Linked DNA regions of Saccharomyces cerevisiae S288C. The gene in region 2 interacts genetically with the main gene of each other region. Each region holds a gene or a part of one and is shown on either strand. Other genes may lie near its edges. The genes, in order: PHO5, DCV1, ALK2 and DSF2.

The links.
Region 1: mutations in DCV1 (region 2) and PHO5 together harm fitness more than expected from each alone (negative genetic interaction), as found in Saccharomyces cerevisiae (2 studies listed by BioGRID).
Region 3: mutations in DCV1 (region 2) and ALK2 together harm fitness more than expected from each alone (negative genetic interaction), as found in Saccharomyces cerevisiae (2 studies listed by BioGRID).
Region 4: mutations in DCV1 (region 2) and DSF2 together harm fitness more than expected from each alone (negative genetic interaction), as found in Saccharomyces cerevisiae (2 studies listed by BioGRID).

Annotation. Positions count from the first base shown.
Region 1 is NC_001134.8:427,853-432,510, forward strand, and holds PHO5 (acid phosphatase PHO5), read right to left. Parts: upstream 3,100-4,658; coding exon 1,696-3,099; downstream 1-1,695. Other genes in the region: acid phosphatase PHO3, read right to left, coding at 1-1,249; PBY1 (putative tubulin tyrosine ligase), read left to right, coding at 4,184-4,658. UniProt on the Saccharomyces cerevisiae protein: Partially mediates extracellular nucleotide derived phosphate hydrolysis along with NPP1 and NPP2.
Region 2 is NC_001138.5:166,266-170,191, reverse strand, and holds DCV1 (Dcv1p), read right to left. Parts: upstream 2,305-3,926; coding exon 1,696-2,304; downstream 1-1,695. Other genes in the region: IOC3 (Ioc3p), read right to left, coding at 1-270; YFR012W-A (uncharacterized protein), read right to left, coding at 882-968; MIC19 (Mic19p), read left to right, coding at 2,934-3,446; ubiquitin-specific protease UBP6, read right to left, coding at 3,626-3,926.
Region 3 is NC_001134.8:205,663-209,724, reverse strand, and holds ALK2 (protein kinase ALK2), read right to left. Parts: upstream 2,532-4,062; coding exon 501-2,531; downstream 1-500. Other genes in the region: HIR1 (Hir1p), read right to left, coding at 1-72; YBL008W-A (uncharacterized protein), read right to left, coding at 77-316; LAA2 (Laa2p), read left to right, coding at 2,776-3,618; bifunctional glycerol-3-phosphate/glycerone-phosphate O-acyltransferase SCT1, read right to left, coding at 3,908-4,062. UniProt on the Saccharomyces cerevisiae protein: Serine/threonine haspin-like protein kinase involved in cell cycle regulation.
Region 4 is NC_001134.8:248,306-253,951, forward strand, and holds DSF2 (Dsf2p), read right to left. Parts: upstream 2,712-5,646; coding exon 501-2,711; downstream 1-500. Other genes in the region: UGA2 (succinate-semialdehyde dehydrogenase (NAD(P)(+))), read left to right, coding at 1-198; FLR1 (Flr1p), read right to left, coding at 4,258-5,646.

The DNA.
Region 1 (4,658 bases), on a different chromosome or scaffold from region 2:
CACAAGAGAACCCTGGGCCGGTGGAACAGGTTTCAATTGGAACGACAGCATCGTTAATGACGTATCTGACGTAGGTGTCGTTAGAACATTGGAATTTTTCGGTGTAGACACGAGCACCTTGAGGAACGTACCAGGACTTATGGAAGGTGTTGCCCATGAATGGAACGTATTCGGCAGTTAAGTTGTTTTTGTCGTCAATTATACCAGCGGTGGTCAAATAGTTTAGGATATCGGTATCGTGGGTAAAACTCAACCAGACTTTTAAGTCTTGAGTTTCACTTTGCTTTAACAACTTCAAAGTAGCGTTAAACAAGTTGGCACCGACGGATCTGATCATATCATAACCTGGTCCATCCTGGTAAAACGATACCAGGTCCTGGCCGTATGAGTAACGTACCAATTCATCTTCGGTGAAGATATCACAAACATCACTGTAGCCTCTAGCGTTCAATTCGTATGCACACCATGCAAACAAAGTGTTGGCGTCCTTTGAGGTCAAATTCAAACCCTTGTTTTCTTTGTTTAATCTCTTGGCAATGTCATCCAAGTATGTGGTATCGTATTTGTCCAAAATGTCATCGTTAGCATCTTCATCCCATCCTGGGCACGCATTACCAGCACTCAAAGTGTTTGCGCCGGCGGACATGGCTTCACTGACAGTCTGCAAGGAGATGTTGAATTGGTCACCTAAACCATCAATGAAATATTGAGCAGTGTCATGAACCCTTTCAGAACTAGCGGCGAAAATTGGGAAACTGGTTTGATTTTCGAACATGTAGCCATATTGCGCTAAAAACTCACGAGCATGTCTCTTAGCATCCATCTCACCAGTGTATGGATTCAAAACATTGTCTGAGTTGGCAAAAGTGGTTTCCATTTCCAAATCATCGTCATCACGGATGAAAAACTCGTAATCATCGTTCAAGAATGACAATGAGCCGTTGAATTGACGTGTGTAATTGCTCAACTTATACCATGTTTTCATGATGGTAGCACCTTTACTGTAAGTTGGGTATCTTTCACCATGTCTGGCAAGCATTTGCAATTGTTTCATTTCACAACCTTCAGGCAAGTCACGAGAAATACCATAGTCGCCAGGGAAAGAGAAGTATGGCCCGGCACCACCCAGGAATGGGAATATGTCTTCCTGAGTGCCAATTTTGGCAACATCGGCTAACTCTCCGAGGGGAATTGTACCTGCATTAACTAAAGCAGCGGCTAGAACCGAATAAACAACAGACTTAAACATAGGTAATTTGGAATGGCCCTTTCTTTACTGTAGTATTTTTTTTATGATAATCAAGGCATAATTGACTTCCATCCAGCAAATTTAAGCACTTATATATGTTGCATAGGACTACTCAAAGCTGTTTACTATTTCCCAAACTGGTATTATTTAGTAAATTTCTTTTGAATTTTTTTTTTTTCACTCTTCCTTTTTTTCATTTTTGCGATGCCAGTTCTTTGAGTTTCCCTTATACGGCATATGCACTTAAGGTTTGATTTTGCTAATTAAAGGCGTGCCTAAGCGGCGACTAATACTGTAATATAATATGGGTTCCTGACTGACTACAGGGATTGAAACATCCATTTACCTGTTTCGGATATCTCTGCAGATTTTAATCTTTCGGCAAAATTTAGATAAAAAATTTGGGTATTCGTATTTAGTTTCCAATATTATTTAGTTATACAAAACTATTGTCTCAATAGACTGGCGTTGTAATGAGTAGTGTTCCAGTCCCAGTAGAAGGTCAATTCAGTAGAGTTACTGACGCTGCTGACGTTACAGACCTTTAGGAAGTCAGTACCGGCTACTCTCTTTTCAGCATAGTCGTAGAAGTCATTGATTTCACAAGAGAACCCTGGACCAGTGGAACAGGTTTCAATTGGAACAACAGCATCGTTAATGACGTATCTGACGTAGGTGTCGTTAGAACATTGGAATTTTTCGGTGTAGACACGAGCACCTTGAGGAACGTACCAGGATCTGTGGAAAGTGTTGCCCATGAATGGAACGTATTCGGCAGTTAAGTTGTTTTTGTCGTCAATTATACCAGCGGTGGTCAAAAAGTTTAGGATATCGGTATCGTGGGTAAAACTCAACCAAACCTTTTGGTCTTGAATCTCACTTTGCTTTAATAATTTGACTGAGGCATTGAACAAGTTGGAACCGACAGACTTGATAATGTCGTAACCTGGACCCTCATGGTAATAAGTGTGCAAGTCTTGGTAGTAGGAGTAATGGACTAATTCATCCTTGGTGAAAATATCACAGACATCACTGTAACCTTTAGCGTTCACTTCAAATGCACACCACGAGAATAAAGTACTAGCGTCAGTTGAGGTCAAGTTCAAACCCTTGTTTTCCTTGTTCAATCTCTTGGCAATGTCATCCAAGTAGGTTGTGTCGTATTCATTTACAATGTCATCATTGGCATCGTAGTCCCAAGCAGGACATGAGTTACAAGCACTCAAAGTGTTGGCACCAGCGGATTCAGCTTCACTGACAGTCTGCAAGGTGATGTTGAATTGGTCACCTAAACCATCAATGAAATATTGAGCAGTGTCATGACATCTCTTAGAATTAGAGGTAAAAACGGCGAAACTGGTTTGGTTTTCGACCATGTAACCGTATTGAGCCAAGAAGTCACGAGCATGTCTCTTGGCGTTCATTTCACCAGTGTATGGGTTCAAAACATCGTCCGAGTTGGCAAAAGTGGTTTCCATTTCCAAATCATCGTCATCACGGATGAAAAACTCGTAATCATCGTTCAAGAATGACAATGAGCCGTTGAATTGACGAGTGTAATTGCTCAACTTATACCATGTACTCTTGATAGTCTTAGCCAGACTGACAGTAGGGTATCTTTCACCATGTCTACCAACCATTTGCAGTTGCTTCATTTCACAACCTTCAGGCAAATCACGAGAAATACCATAGTCGCCAGGGAAAGAGTAGTATGGTCCGGCACCACCCAAAAATGGGAAGATATCTTTTTGGGTACCAATCTTGTCGACATCGGCTAGTTTGCCTAAGGGAATGGTACCTGCATTGGCCAAAGAAGCGGCTAAAATTGAATAAACAACAGATTTAAACATTGGTAATCTCGAATTTGCTTGCTCTATTTGTTGTTGTTCTTATTCTCATGAGAGATGAAGCCATACTAACCTCGACTTAGCAAAACATCAGCGCTTATATACGTTTCATTTCGACAATTCAAAGATGTTTACCCTTATCCCAAATGGGTATATGCCTTGCCAAGTAAGGTGACCAATTTGATAATTTGGCATGTGCGATCTCTTCGAAAACAGGGACCAGAATCATAAATTTAGTCTGTGCTAGTCCCACGTGTGAGTGCCAAGGTTGTATCGATTCATTTAGAGATTGCCTATTCAATTAACTCTTTTAATCACTTTTACTTTTTTTGGCATTGTGCAGTTGCGTTCTATGCGAAAACGTGCTAATTTAATATATATTTCTTTGTGCAGACAAAGAAAAAGCGCTATGAACCTTTTACCTTCGTTTGAAGTTTATAGACGACGTCCGCTTACATGAGAAAACATTAAAGCAGCGCACATAAGATGACTTCCAAATACGTTGACATATTTGCGCATTCTTGTTGAATACAACTTTCGGATCCTTGTAATGCCGGTCTCCGGCGTCCTGTAAAGAGAGCGTGCGACACGCCGCTATTAGCGTGGGGACTGACATCAGGTCAACATTATTATTGTAGCGAGCTACTTTCGGTCAGTAAATAGAACATATGTAGAGATACAAGCGATTATTAGAAGGAGCGGACCTACAACAAAGTTGGGTCACGTTTCTCGCAATTATTACTTGGATGCCCTCCTAGCTAATGCCAATGTGCAGTAGTAACTTATCAGTCCGATGTGTAAAAAATAGAACTAATTTTTTGCGAAAAGATGGACAAAAACCATCTCTGGTCAATTTTCTCACTAAAGAGGGACGGAGTCTCTTGTTTTCTTCTATTAGTGCACAGGGAATGTTTTGATTTTCCCTTTTTTTTTCTTTCGCTTCTTCAACAGTGGTAAAAATAAAAATTATTGGCGATGGGATAACCAAGGAACATTGTATTTAGCAATTGAAAATTACGGTAAAGGCAGCCGCTCTGACTTGATCTCTGACATTAAAAATTCGGAAACAATAAATATTTCTTTTAAGATGCGGGTTTTAATAACTAACGATGATGGTCCCTTAAGTGATCAGTTTTCACCATACATTAGACCTTTTATTCAGCACATTAAAAGAAATTATCCTGAATGGAAAATCACGGTTTGTGTACCTCATGTCCAGAAATCATGGGTGGGTAAGGCTCATCTTGCTGGTAAAAATTTGACAGCTCAATTCATATATTCTAAAGTTGACGCTGAAGACAATACTTTTTGGGGCCCATTTATCCAGCCACAAATTAGGTCAGAAAACTCTAAATTACCTTATGTTCTCAATGCTGAAATTCCGAAAGATACAATTGAGTGGATATTAATCGATGGAACTCCAGCATCGTGCGCAAACATCGGGCTGCACCTATTGTCTAATGAACCGTTTGATCTAGTACTGTCGGGTCCAAATGTTGGTAGAAATACATCTGCTGCTTATATTACCTCTTCTGGTACCGTAGGAGGCGCAATGGAATCTG
Region 2 (3,926 bases):
TTTCTTAGGAGGAGCAGGTCTCTTCCTCTTGGGTTTATTCGCCCTTTCCTTTAACTCTTCCTCGTATTCATCATAAATGCTCGTTCTTGGCTTAGGAACACGTCTTGATCTCCTTAAATTATCAGAAGATTGTGAAACACTAACACTTTGATCGGTTTGTAAGGGCATAGCCATTGATACGCGATCATGATCATGGTCAGCAAGCTGTGCGGAAGAGCTGCCCTGGGCTTCTTGCTGCAAATTCTGGATAGAATTGGATGGAGAATCCATAAACAATAGGGGATTGCAAACTTTGCTTGAAGTACTTGGTAAGTGATAGTTTTGTTGGCCGAAACCAATGTGGAAGATATCACCATCTTAAGAAATTAAGTCCATTCATTAGTATAAACTCACGTAATTTCAATGAATTTGTTAAAGTTTCAGCAAATCGTGAAGCACGATATTTCACTTTTATGATCCGAGAGGGAATATTACTAGTACTTCCACGCATAAGGAAAGTCAATGTTAACAAATACCGCCATACCGCCATACCTGTCCTCTGTAGTCACTGCTAATGTTAATGTAAATAAATTACATCTAAAAGTTGTTTTCTCTTCAGTAATTTTAGAAACCGTTAAGAGGAAAAATGGGCACTTCCTTTCTTTGTTTCAGAAATTAAGCTCAAAAAGATGGGCTCGATAAAAGTAGCATACTATTTACTCTATCTTATTTTTATTTTCTATATACTAGTCTATCAGACTCAGACGTCAACGATGTGGAATACGGATGGAATCATTAAATAGTAGCAAGAAGTACTTTATTCTTATTTTTCAAATTGCGGCGCGCCAACAAAACGCGTACAAAAAAAGCAGATTGGATAGTACTTTATTCTTGTTATTTTGTCATTGGAAAGTATAAGCTGGTTGTGGATTACTCTTCACACGATGTGCCTGTTTTTTGTAGGCGGGCTTGTACTTTCTGGGGAGCATGCTGTGTATGTTGTAGGTCTGTGGCAATGTTTGTCGGGAGTGTTCGCTGTTACCATGAGTTGTCTGTGAGTAGTAGCGATTGTAATTGTGGTTGTATCCTACTGGTCTTCTTCGGGAATACCAAGGAATGAAAGAGTTATGAGGAACCTCACTTTGATCCTGGTAATTATTTGGTTGTTGTAGTTGATATTGGCGGGGCTCTGTGAGACAATGATTTTTTTTTGAATATATTTTAAAGCAATCGGCTGATTGGGTAGCCTCAACGCCAAATAACCAAGGAGGGTCGTAGTTATCTTGTGAATGGCTTGAGATTCCCTCATAATATAAAATATTTGCCTTTTTTTTTTCAGTAGGCATTTCCACATTTTCTTGCTTTGCAGGTAAGTCGGTTATATTGATTTCATCCAAAGATAAGGATTTTTGATTTTCAACATGCCTTCTAGAAAATATTTGTTTACCATTCAACTTTGGAGCGAAGAAACTCACCAAACCTGCTTGCTTCAATGGAGATTTGATTTCAGGCGGTGGTTCATCTTGATTTGTTACCGCCAGTTTATCTTGATTGGGATCTAAGGTCCTTGGTAGATCATTAAAAAGACTTGTGATGTCATACACAGATTGGTCTGTGCCCTTAGTTGTTTGTGGATAATTTTCGCCAAGGGAACTTGATGTTTGACTCGTTCCATATAGTTTGAGAATACTGTCTACGTTCTCTATACTAGCTTCTTTAGCTATGTTTTCTGTCTGACTGCGCAGACGTATCAAACCTAAAACTGAGAAAATGCACGCCAATAACGAGCAGAGGGAACAGGGAACAGTTAGCCAGCCACACCAAGTCGTATAAGGATGAAATTGTAACAGGATCACGGTGCATGCAAAGTAACAGGATCACGGTGCATGCAAAAATAGTTGATAAAAGTGTCAATATGTGTAATATAGCGTTGGAAGTAATAAGTGAGACATTAGTTCCTCCAGTCTGAAAAAGAAAAATAATAACCAAGGGAAGTGCAAAAGAAATGAAAGTCAAACATGTAGCAACCGGTATCGAAATCAAAAGTCCTCCTATTGTATGTCTTGCCTTAGGACTCAGCCACCAACGTTCAAGAGAAGGGCCAGGTAATATTTCTTTCGAGGTGTTATATATTAAACGTACTCGAGAGCAGGAAAAAGAATTCAAAGTTTTACAGTAACCAAAGGTACCATATGAAACTCCAGCAGCTTGAGCCAGCCCCCAGTTTCTAATTATTGGTGAAGTTAAACAACATATCATAAAGCCAGAAAAAGAGATTAATTGTAGGAAAGAGGAAAACAATAAAATCAATTTATAATTTAGCATCAATTATTGAATATGGTACCAAAAAAAAAAAATTAGCAAAAAAAGGCAATTTTCTCACCTTCTTGTAATTATTACGCGTAAGGACAGATCATAAAAGTGTATTTCATCCTCAATCATCAATTAAATAATTTATTTATTAACATTCATATATATTTATATTTTCGTTTGCAATTTCGCAATTTTAATATGTCACAAAAAAAGCGCCCACAGAATTATCAAGAAGACCAACCAAATCAATAATAAAATTCGGCAAATAACATTATTAGATTTTTCATGAGATTTAAGAAATACTTGTTCTGTTGTTTAACTGATGGTTTATTACTTATATTTAAATATTGAAAGCTGCAAGATTTAAAAAAATATCTCCCGGGGGCGAGTCGAACGCCCGATCTCAAGATTTCGTAGTGGTAAATTACAGTCTTGCGCCTTAAACCAACTTGGCTACCGAGAGTCGTTTTTGTTGTAAAAAACTACGAATATTCGTGGTATGTCGCATATATATATATTTCTTCTTCCAATGAGACGCAGAGGAAAAAACAAGTGAGGAGGAACATTTCAAAGAGATTGCTAATCAAAAAAAAATTCAAGAACAAAAACAAGGTGGTATATCGACTAATACAGAGTCAATCATGGGTTCAAACACTTCCAAAGTGGGTGCTGGTGCAGAAAAACAACAAGTCTATACTCCGCTAACACAGATCGATTTTTCACAGTCTTTGGTTTCTCAATTGGATTCATCGAAGGAATCAGACTATGTCACCAAGCAAAATGCAGAAAAGTTCATTGAGAAGAAGGTTTCACAAAGGCTATCTAACCTAGAAGTTGAAACGTTAAAGAAGTTTGAAGATACTTTGAACAATTCACTATTATCAGACGACGACAAGGATGCCGTTGATGGAATATCATCAAGTTCATTGAATAATCAAATCGAGTCGTTGAACAAGAAACTAACATTATTTGATCAATTAGAGTTACAAAAGTTGGAGAAATATGGGGGTGCCAAAGGTAAATCTGATAAAAAAACCGACAACGGCAGCATTTCTATAAAGGCAAAATTGACTGAGTGTCTTTTGGCCAATAAGGGCAAGCCATTGAATTGTTACGAAGAGATGGAAGAATTCAAGAAGCTCGTTATGGGTTGAATAAGAAAAAGTATACATAAACTCGACCAAAAAGAATTCGCCATTTCATGTATATAAAATGCATTTTTATCGATTGGCGGATGAACGTAAAAGGGAGAGAAATATTTTTATGTGTATGTAAAAAAATGTATATGTATATTCCGAAAAAACTATTAATTTTGAAAAAATGAAAAATGGACTTACAGACCAAATCCTTTATACATTAAGATCAGTGCACTATCACTTTCGCCCCCACCGGCTAAAGATTCAATTTTTTCCTTTTCAACAACGCTAACTTTATCATCATTAAATTTGTACCATTTATTTTCGTCCAGTTCGTCCCTTATGAAAGCTTGATAGTGTCCAGACTCAGAATTGGCACCTTGATGTGTAATGACACCGATCAAGTTATAAACACAAGATGGGTTTTCACCTTTTTCCAAGTTTGGAGGAAAATGTTTCTTATACTCTTCGAGCCATTGATCTTTTTCACTTTCGTTA
Region 3 (4,062 bases), on a different chromosome or scaffold from region 2:
ATCGACTGTGTATATTTCATATTTTCGCGATTCTTCACGGTGAGCCAACCATGGAAACTTTACCACTTTCATGTTATCAGAGACCTTTGGTTACTGGCAATTTTATTATGCTTCGTTGGTAAGCCTTAATTATTTTATGAATGTTCGCCAATATTATATGTTTCTGCCACCTAAACCAGTAACTTCGTTTTATTTTTGTTGCGATGCGAGATGATTGATTTTGAATATTCTTACGATTACAGTAGCAGTCAACCTGAAAAAGGCAAAAGAAAAATAACGACTTACAGAGGATAACAGTACAAGGGTTCATTTTCATCTGTAAAACATTTTAAAAATGTGCTTTCAGTTTGTGGGGCAAGCTAAAGATAACTGTTCTCAGAAAGAGTGTTCATATTATACTATTTATTTCCTTTCCATTACAAATTGATGTACGTAATTTTTTTTTGCTTACAAATCATTAAGAAGGATACAAAAGCTTGCACCTTATTACTACGATGTCTTTACTGCATTATTTCTCCCTTCAAAGATAACAAATCACCGCAAGTTCTTATAACAAGTTCCTTTTTGAAAATTGTTTTGGAATGTTTTCGAGCAGGATCGAGTAAGTGCGTCAACTCGATTAAGATATTTTCTTCCCGGTTCAAAGCGCCGCTGACTACGGCTTTTTTGGCCATTTTTAGCAGGCTGCTACTTAGGTGATATAACCATAATAGGTTTGTTCTTGGTTCAAATGTAGCCCAGGATATTGGCTGAGGCAGCATGCTTCTCATCAGTTCATATATCTCGAATTGAAGAGTCCCCCGGCCTTGGAAGAAATAATGATGGTCTAATCTTGTATAGGAAGCCTTATTGTTGTCTATATTCAAGAAACGACAGCACTTCATATCAATTAAAGTAACATTCCCTTTAGAGTCTATCAAAATATGGTCCAAAGTTAGATTCCTGTGTTCGAGCTGAAATTTGGATTCAGCAACATATAAAATACTGCTGCACTGCCAGAAAATAGACAATGCTTGAGAGTAATCAATGTTAGAGCACCTTGATAGAGGAGTTCCCTGGTATTTGAAAAATAAGTACAGTATCAAGTTTTGGTCATTTTCACATTGATTTGAGGGCACAACATAAGCTTGCAGTAAATTGGCGACACCGCTAGTTCCTTGTATTAACCGTAATGATTTCAATTCATGTAAGGATATCAAGTTTGAAGTAGTCAAATCACTTAGAGCCCCTAGACATACTTTCTTGCAAATGAGTGAAGTTTGCATATCGCTATGATAAGTTTGCCAAAAGTTATGAGACAGCTGAACCGATCTAGTATTCAACGTAAACAAGCCTAATGACTGAGCTTCACGTAGATCATGTAATATATACTTAACATCACAAAGTTGTAATATTTGTTGCAAAATTGAATCATTGTAGTCCAAAGTGTTTATGGGAGTGACTTCTGAAGATAAGGATGCCAATGATGTTGAATTTTTCAATTTCAGTTGAATCTTGTCCTTTGAGACTTGGTCTGGAACAGGCAATGATATTTGGCAAGTTTTTTTGATCGGATGATTCAGTTCTTGTGTATTTCCTTTACGCCTTACTTTGAGCTTATTTAGTGAAGAATGTGATGTTTTATGCTTCAAACTTCTAAAGGAAAGGTTCGATGATGAATGTTTGTGGTTTAGCTCCTTCGTGCTCTGATGATCGGGCATAATAAATCCAGAATTCCTCTTCTTCTCTGTGTGTTTGCCACCACCAAAAATAGAATTGTGAAAACTTGAAATTGAAGACTTCTTTTGTAACGAATTGGTTGGTTTTGGCTGAACAAAGTTCGGATCTTGGTCATTCACAGATCTGGAAGATAGCGACCTCGACAATAGGTTATCATTTTTCCAGAACTTCCACTTTGAAGAAGAGGTGGTAGAAGTAAAGGAATTAACTGAGTTCACACTGGATGAATGAACATGAGAACTTGTCTTCTCGTCACCCCAGCATTTGAAATCACTACCGCTCCGAAACTTAAGTGATCTAAAATCTTTAACAGGCTCATCCCTTGATAAAGTCGATTGGTTTGAAATAGGTCTCAAGGGTGTACGAAACTTGGAGTTAGTCACCTTTGTAAGACCTTGCTTCGACAACCTTTTAGATGGAGAGAGCAGCTTGTTTTCCGATAGCACCGACTGAGATACATTTTCTTTGTTTGAAGAGTGAGCGGTATCATTAATATTAATTTTATTGAAGAGTTGTTTGAGCGATGAACCTGTAGAAGATCTTTTACCATAGTAATCATCGTTTTCGATGGTTTTACCTACAGGCCTTGTTTTGGATGTTGGAGAATCTGAAGAAGTAAAAAAGGATTGACTCTCATCTTCTGCTGAACCCTTGTGCGAAGTGATTTTGTAAACTTTTCTTCCTACATCCACTGCGGGGCTTCCCATGGATGAAGAATTTAATGAGCTGTCGGCATCATCGCTTTCTGCTACTTCGAGAGCAAAATACCTTCTGTCAGTCATCTGTTGATCTGCTACCGCATCAAAATTCATTTTCTCAATACAAATAGCGCATGTATGTGTGTTTGGTGAAATGATTTTACTACAACTAAATATATTAATACCAATACGCTTTAAGTTATTGTTTACTATTTTCGCTTTTCGAGAAGAGAAGATGTTACAAAAAGTTTCGCGAATTGCTATCAAAACTGAAAAAAAAAAAAAACGTTAGGCGTATCACAAACGAGAATTTAAGGTGTAGCAAGATAGAAAAAGGCACCTCTTTCAAAGCAAGCAAATGAGCGATAGAGATCAGATAGAACCTGTCACAAATGCATTAGATGCAGAAAGTGATTCTAGTGATGATTTTGGGAATTTTTCAGATGCCTCAGTTGAAAATGACCTCTATAACCAGAATTCTACTTTAACGACGTCTTCCGAATCTGTAGTAGATAACTGCTTGAATAAGATACTACCAAAGGGAGAATTTGACCTGGAAGAAGAAACCATAAAGAATGACTGTTTCAAGCTGAGCAAACTTATTGAAGATGAACGACCCCATGTCATTTATGAACAACTCGTACAATTAGATCCTGTGTTACAGCCATTCATATGGAATAAATCTCATATACGCAGAAACTTGCTCCACATTTTGAGATTATCGGATAATAATGGCTCTGAGGGTGTTGGTACGAAGAGGGAGGAAGAACCGTTGAATGATGAGTTGTTCAAAAGGATATGCGATGCAGTGGAGAAAAATGAGCAAACGGCTACTGGTCTCTTCCTGAGGGATAATTTCAAAATTGACTATACACCACCAATGACTTTAAAATCTCTTCAAAAGGAAGAGGAGCGTGAGCAAGAGCAGCATATACCGCAATTGCTTATGGCAGATTTTACTAGTATGGATGAAGAATCTTTACGCCAATACCACGATACATTGTGTCAATCCATTGACTTTTTGGTTAGTAAATCAAGATCATTGAAGAAACAACAGCGAGACCTCCTAAAGGATAAGACAACTTTTGAAAATGTAGTGACGAATTTGACAGGACATACCCAAAGACTACAGCGAGACGAAATTGCATTGTATAACAAAAAGCGAAACAAAAAGAAAAGGTTCAGTTGGGTAGGATACTAATCGCCGTCTCGGCAAAGCAGGTTGAACGTTGAAGTTTGAAGAGAATAAAATGTTATTAGTAGCATAGGGGACCAGACCAAAAGTCGTAAAAGAGCAATATACTTTTTTATAAAACATACAATTATACAATTAGTCCCCCCCTCAAGAAATAAAAAGCCCCTGTGCGAGGGATATACATAAACATTGAGCATTAATATTTACAACTCCCAATGAGCAATAATGGGTTTATTACATAAATAGAACGGCGAAAGATTTAGTTTCTAGTATCTTCACCGTCAGTAAATGGCATCTACGCATCTCCTTCTTTCCCTTCTTCTTCTTCTTCCTCTTCTTCTTCTTCCTCTTCTTCTTCCTCTTCCTCTTCCCTGGCAGTATTTTCACCAATTCTCTTGTTTAAGACGGCCTGTGCGATTTTACTTGCTAATCCATTTTTTTCCTCCAAGA
Region 4 (5,646 bases), on a different chromosome or scaffold from region 2:
GTCAACACTTTATACACTGTGTCTGAAGCTTTGGAAACTGGTATGGTTTCATGTAATACAGGTGTTTTTTCGGATTGTTCTATACCATTTGGTGGTGTTAAAGAGTCAGGATTTGGAAGAGAAGGTTCGCTATATGGTATTGAAGATTACACTGTTTTGAAGACCATCACAATTGGGAATTTGCCAAACAGCATTTAAAGCAATAGTAATCGTGGACGATACTTAGAATTGAATATGATTCTTTGTAATGATTGTATATATCTATTGCATGTATAAATACTCTACTCCTCGTATATAGAAAGTTAAGTAAATTTTTTGAAAGAAAAGAGTTCATATATTTACGGAGTTTTGAAGTTTTTCACAAGCGGAATAAGTGATACCATTCATAAAATATCATATCTATCTATCTATCTATTTTTGTGAGATATATGGTACGAAAATAAATGCCTTTCCTTTTAAGCCTTTCTGTAAGCTTTTATGTATACAACGTTTCTTTATCTTTATTTCGGACCTTGTTTCATGTACTTTTCCTTATAAATCCAATCTGAACCTAATAGATTTGCACCTTTTTTATCGGCTATCCTAAACCATGCAGCAGCTCTGGCGAGATCCCTTTTCTTTACGTTTGAAGTTTTGGACCAAATTGTCCCGCTTAAGCACATTGAGTCTACATGGCCTAATAGAGCAGCTTTTTCCAAAAATTTCAAACCTTTTCGCTCGTCGGGATGATCCATCCCAAGACCCTTTAAATATGCCATACCACATTCGTACAAGGCAGGTGCTGTTGGTTCAGGCGCTATATCAGGGATATCGTCCATTGAAGCAAAATTTAACGGATTTATATCTAAATCAAGAACCTCAGCAGCAAAGGATTTGATATCAGTGGCAGCCATTAAATATCCTAATGATAATTTCAAGTTCTTGTCCACTCCGCAGCCATGTCGCAGGGCTAGTCCATATAACAGAAACGCAGTTTTGTTTCCGCACGCGCAGGCTTTTTTCAGTCGTTGTGCAGATTCTTCAAGTTTGCCTTGATGACGCATAGTAATTGCCTGTCCGATGTGTGAAGATTCATCATTATCATAAGGTTCTGGGTGAAATTTAAGCTTCCCGCACTTGCTTGTTGCGTTCGATCCTTCTTTTTTATGACTGAAGGAATCCATGCATTGCGTCGAATTATTGGGCAACATACCATCTAAAGAAAGTGTTCTTCTTCTAACTTTCGGGTGGTAGGGCTTATTTGATTGTTCTGTTAGTGCACTTAGTTCACCTATTTTTGAATCTTTTTCCGTTGTATGGAAATCCGAGAAAGTTCTCAAATGAGTCCTATTTGGACGTGCTTTACTGTTCTTTTTTTTATCCGTGGATGACTGAGGTGTTGATGCTGTTTTAAAATGGAAAACTGGGTTTGGAGGAAAAATATACCTAGCTAAATGTGGACTGGAATTATTAATGGTACTTGAAGTAGATGGAAGTTGAATATTCTCCCCAGAGAAGTCCAATGAATTGGTGGCAGACCGGATAGGGCTTGATCCTTCAGACTCAAGGTCTTTCTTATTTTTTGCTCTTGTCCTAGGAGATTTAAAAAGTTTTTTTAGCGAATTTAGTGACGTTTTTTTTTTATGAGCTTTATATGGTGGCGTTGGAGGTAATGAAATATCATTTGTCATGGTATTTGTTTTCGTTATCGTCGAGGTAGAGGAATTAGACCGTTTAGGAGATGGTTTGATGGGTGTTGTATCACTCTTAGTTAACTTGAGTTTGGAGAATGAGGATGATTCACTTTCAAAAGAAGACTGAGTTTTCGGCTTTGATAGTTGTCCAACTTCAGAAAAGGAGGTGTTGGTGCTTGTTGAACTTCCGTTCCGATAAAGACAATTACTCTTTTGCGTGGTTGTGAACTCATTGGGGCAACTCTGCTTCTCGGATATTCTGTCAGTTTTTGTAGATGTATTAATATTATTACTAGTAGTTCTGTTATTCTTACTATTAGCATTATTGTCAACGCTAGTATTATTGTCTGATATCAGCGTAGGATAAAGATGGTGCAGTCTAGTATTTTCAATCCTATATTTCTCGAAGTTGAAAGGATTAGGGCTATTTGTGCTTCTATTGCCATTTTCAAGGTTTGGGTACTTATAATCTTTCTCATTTCTATTCATTTGGGGTTTCATGCCACTAAAAGTCTCAGAGTCATAATCTTCTTCGACGATATAAGAGTATCTCGACTTCACGGGCAAATGCCTTTCCACTTTACCGGAAGAGTATTTGCCTCTCAAAGTGGAATCCTTTTCTTTTAAATTGTCTATGATAAGAGAACGATCTCTAGCTTGTATATATGTTGGAGAGGGATTAGTTCTATACCTTAATGAAGGGAATTCCGACGCAGGCATACATAATGTTGGACCACTTGTTTGTGACAGTTGCGAATTTCTCGACGCGTTTTCTTCTTCTAATAAAGCTTCTTGCAGAATCAGTTCATCTTCCAAGCTGAGGTCTAATTTGTCAAGAAGTCTTTCCGTGGTTTGAATAGATTCGAATGAAATGCTACTTTTATTTGAATGAGCATAGCTAAATTGTGAATCCATTGATGACTCGAAGCTATTATTGGGTGGTGGGCTTTGTGAAACCTCTGAAGAGTTAGCTTTTCTTTCTTGATCGTCGCTTCCTATTCGATCAGCCCAAGAAGTGTTTTTTAAATTTTGATTCATTACTTTTCGTGTGACGTAAAAGTCCGTTTGTTTTTCTAGATTTTCTGTTTTTTCTCGAGGCTCCTACAAGTTCCACCTATATTTAGCATTGAGGAACAGAATGTGCTATCGCAAAGAGCAATGGCAACAGAAAAAAAGAGTTGCTAAAGAAGAACTATTTTTGAATGTCCGTGGTAATACAATGGAAGACTACTAGAACACGATGGCAGATAAGGTGATTTGATAATCAAATTCAACGACGGTTGCACCGTTGTTCTTTCTGCCGCTCTTCGTCCGGAGCCTTCTGTGATAATTGTTTTAACGCGCAGAAACACACGCAGGCTGCGTAAAGGAATGGTGGGGCTCGAAGAAGTGACAGTGGGTGTCCACGGAATGTTCTGAGCGCAGGGATCCGGTGTTGCCATCGCACACGATATGAGACGCGTTCATTTTTTCCAGCAGTCACCTAAAAGTTCAAGAAACGCTATGTTGTAATGCAGCTGTATTGTACACTGGCTGGTATTGCCGTTCTGATCTATGACTTACTTGTTAGAGGTAATAGCTGTCTTAGATCGGCTTGCTTCTTCTGACTTCCTTCTTTTTTTTTTTTTTTTCGAAGTGAGGCATGCTGCAGTTTTGTGCAGCTTCTCTTGCATCACTTCCTGTATTATTTACGTTGTTTACATTATCAGGTATTTTGTATTATTTTTTGCGCAACAGCAAGCAAACGCAATAGCGATAAATGCCATAATATAATCAAAATTTAGCAAGGATACATAGCAGCAAACCCGAACCTTTAGGCCTCTCATAGATGAAGAAAATTTGTACAATTCTTTTGGTTCTTTGGCTCTTCAAATATGAATTTATTAAGAGGAAATCCTGAAGCATCAGAACATCGCAAACTTTTTATTCGCAAGAGGATTTATCCTCTGATTAGTTATATATGAATATGTGTTCCTTCTGCATGATTTTGATATCAATAGTATGCATTTTTTTTCGATTCGTCGTAGAAACATAGCTACTCTCATGACCAAATGACTCTTTTTGGCTTTGACAGTGGAACAGCCAAGTTTTTATGTAGAAATATATTATCTGTTAACTGGAAATGATGTCTTAGGCCCATAAAATGTGCTAGAACGTATGGCTAATCCTTTTGCTCTGTATTCAATTGAGTATTTTGCTTAATTTCTATTTGATAATTGAACTTCTTACGTGTATAAATGGTTGCATATTTCTTTAGTAAGTACTATTTTCAAATATGAGTGAAGGATATTGTGGCTCAAGTAATTCCTCTTTCTTTTTTCATCCGTATGGTAAGCAAAGGGTCACAAAGTAACCGATAGTGTGTAGACCTTAGATCTTCCTTCAAAGATTTCAAGTCTGCGATAAATAAACATGAGAATACTTGCAACAACAACTTTTATAAACAATGAAGTTCATTATGAACAGTATTTATTTCACTGCTAAACTTTACGTAAACTTATGTGGAACATCTTTGTCGACAGATGGACGATAAGTAAAATTGTGTTATTATAATTCAAATTTTCATGGTAAGAACATCGGCTTTCTACTCCTCTGTGTACGAAGATCTTGTACGTAATGATGGCCCATACTTATAAAGTATAAACGGGATAATAGCTAGACCTAAAGTTAGGAACCCCACTAAGGACGAACCCCATGCCACAGGATAGTTCTTAGTAGCTAAATTGTCATACATTGCTCTACCAAACAACGGAAAAGCACAGGCAAACGAAGCCCGACAAAAACCATTGCCTGCAAAAACGGATGCAACATACTTTGGGTAGCATGTAGCCAAATATGCAAAAGTTGCTTGGAAAATGTTAAAGACAGCTAAAACAAAAAAAACTTCCGAGATAACTGGCAAAATCCAATGCACTCGAGCAGTCCAACCAAATAAGAACAAAGACAGAGGCAGGCACCAGCAGACACACATTGCCACGATTAAAAAAGCTTCCGGGGTGAATGTGCCGTTTCTAAAACGTGGTACAATAATCCTCATGTTTAAAATACCGAATAAGCCATAAGCAAGTACGCACCCTACGCAAAACCCCATATAGGCCAAGCCAACTTCAACTAAGCTGAAGTGGTATATACCTACAAATACAATAGGGAATGCTTCAAAGAATAAGTAGAAACAACCATAAGCAACAGCGATATAGAGATCAAAAGCCAAAATTGCAGGCTCTTTGATAATCATTTTGAGAGGCCTATACAAAGTATTGATCAAAAAAGTTCTTGCATCAACTTCTCTATCGAGTTTATCCTGTTCAGTATAGTACCTGTCATCACCAGTTTCTTTTCTCAATTTCAAAGCACGGCGGTACAAAATATTATGGTGTTGTGTTTCAGGGAAGAAAAATGCCAACAAGATAAAAGTGGCAGCACTTAACCACATTAATAACCAAAATATGAATCGCCAATTTTTAGCATCGACCATAGCAGCGCCTAGTAAGGGAGCCAAGACTGGCGCAGCAACAGCACCGGCTGACCACATACCTAAAACGAGAGGAACCATTTCTGGTGAAATGATATCAGCCACTGTACCGCCACCAGTGGCCAACGATGGGCTGCACAGTATGCCACTGATGAAACGCATGACGATTAAACCGCCGATGTTATGCACAGTAGCACAACCAACTTGAAAGATCATGAAAAAAAATAAAGTCACCATGTACAGATTTAGACGGCCATAGCGTGCAGTTTCTGATAGCGGTGAAAAAATGATGGGACCTAGACCATAACCAAGAACATATAAAGAAAGATTTAATGTTGCCACTACATGACCAACGTGGAACTCTTCTTGAATATATTCCTGGCCAGGTGTGTAAATGGAGGATCCCATGTACGTGACGCAAGTAAGTAACATTATTTGGAATACTACCAATGATTTTTTCAGTAGGGGCCAGTTTTGTGGGTTCTCAGGATCACTGGGGCC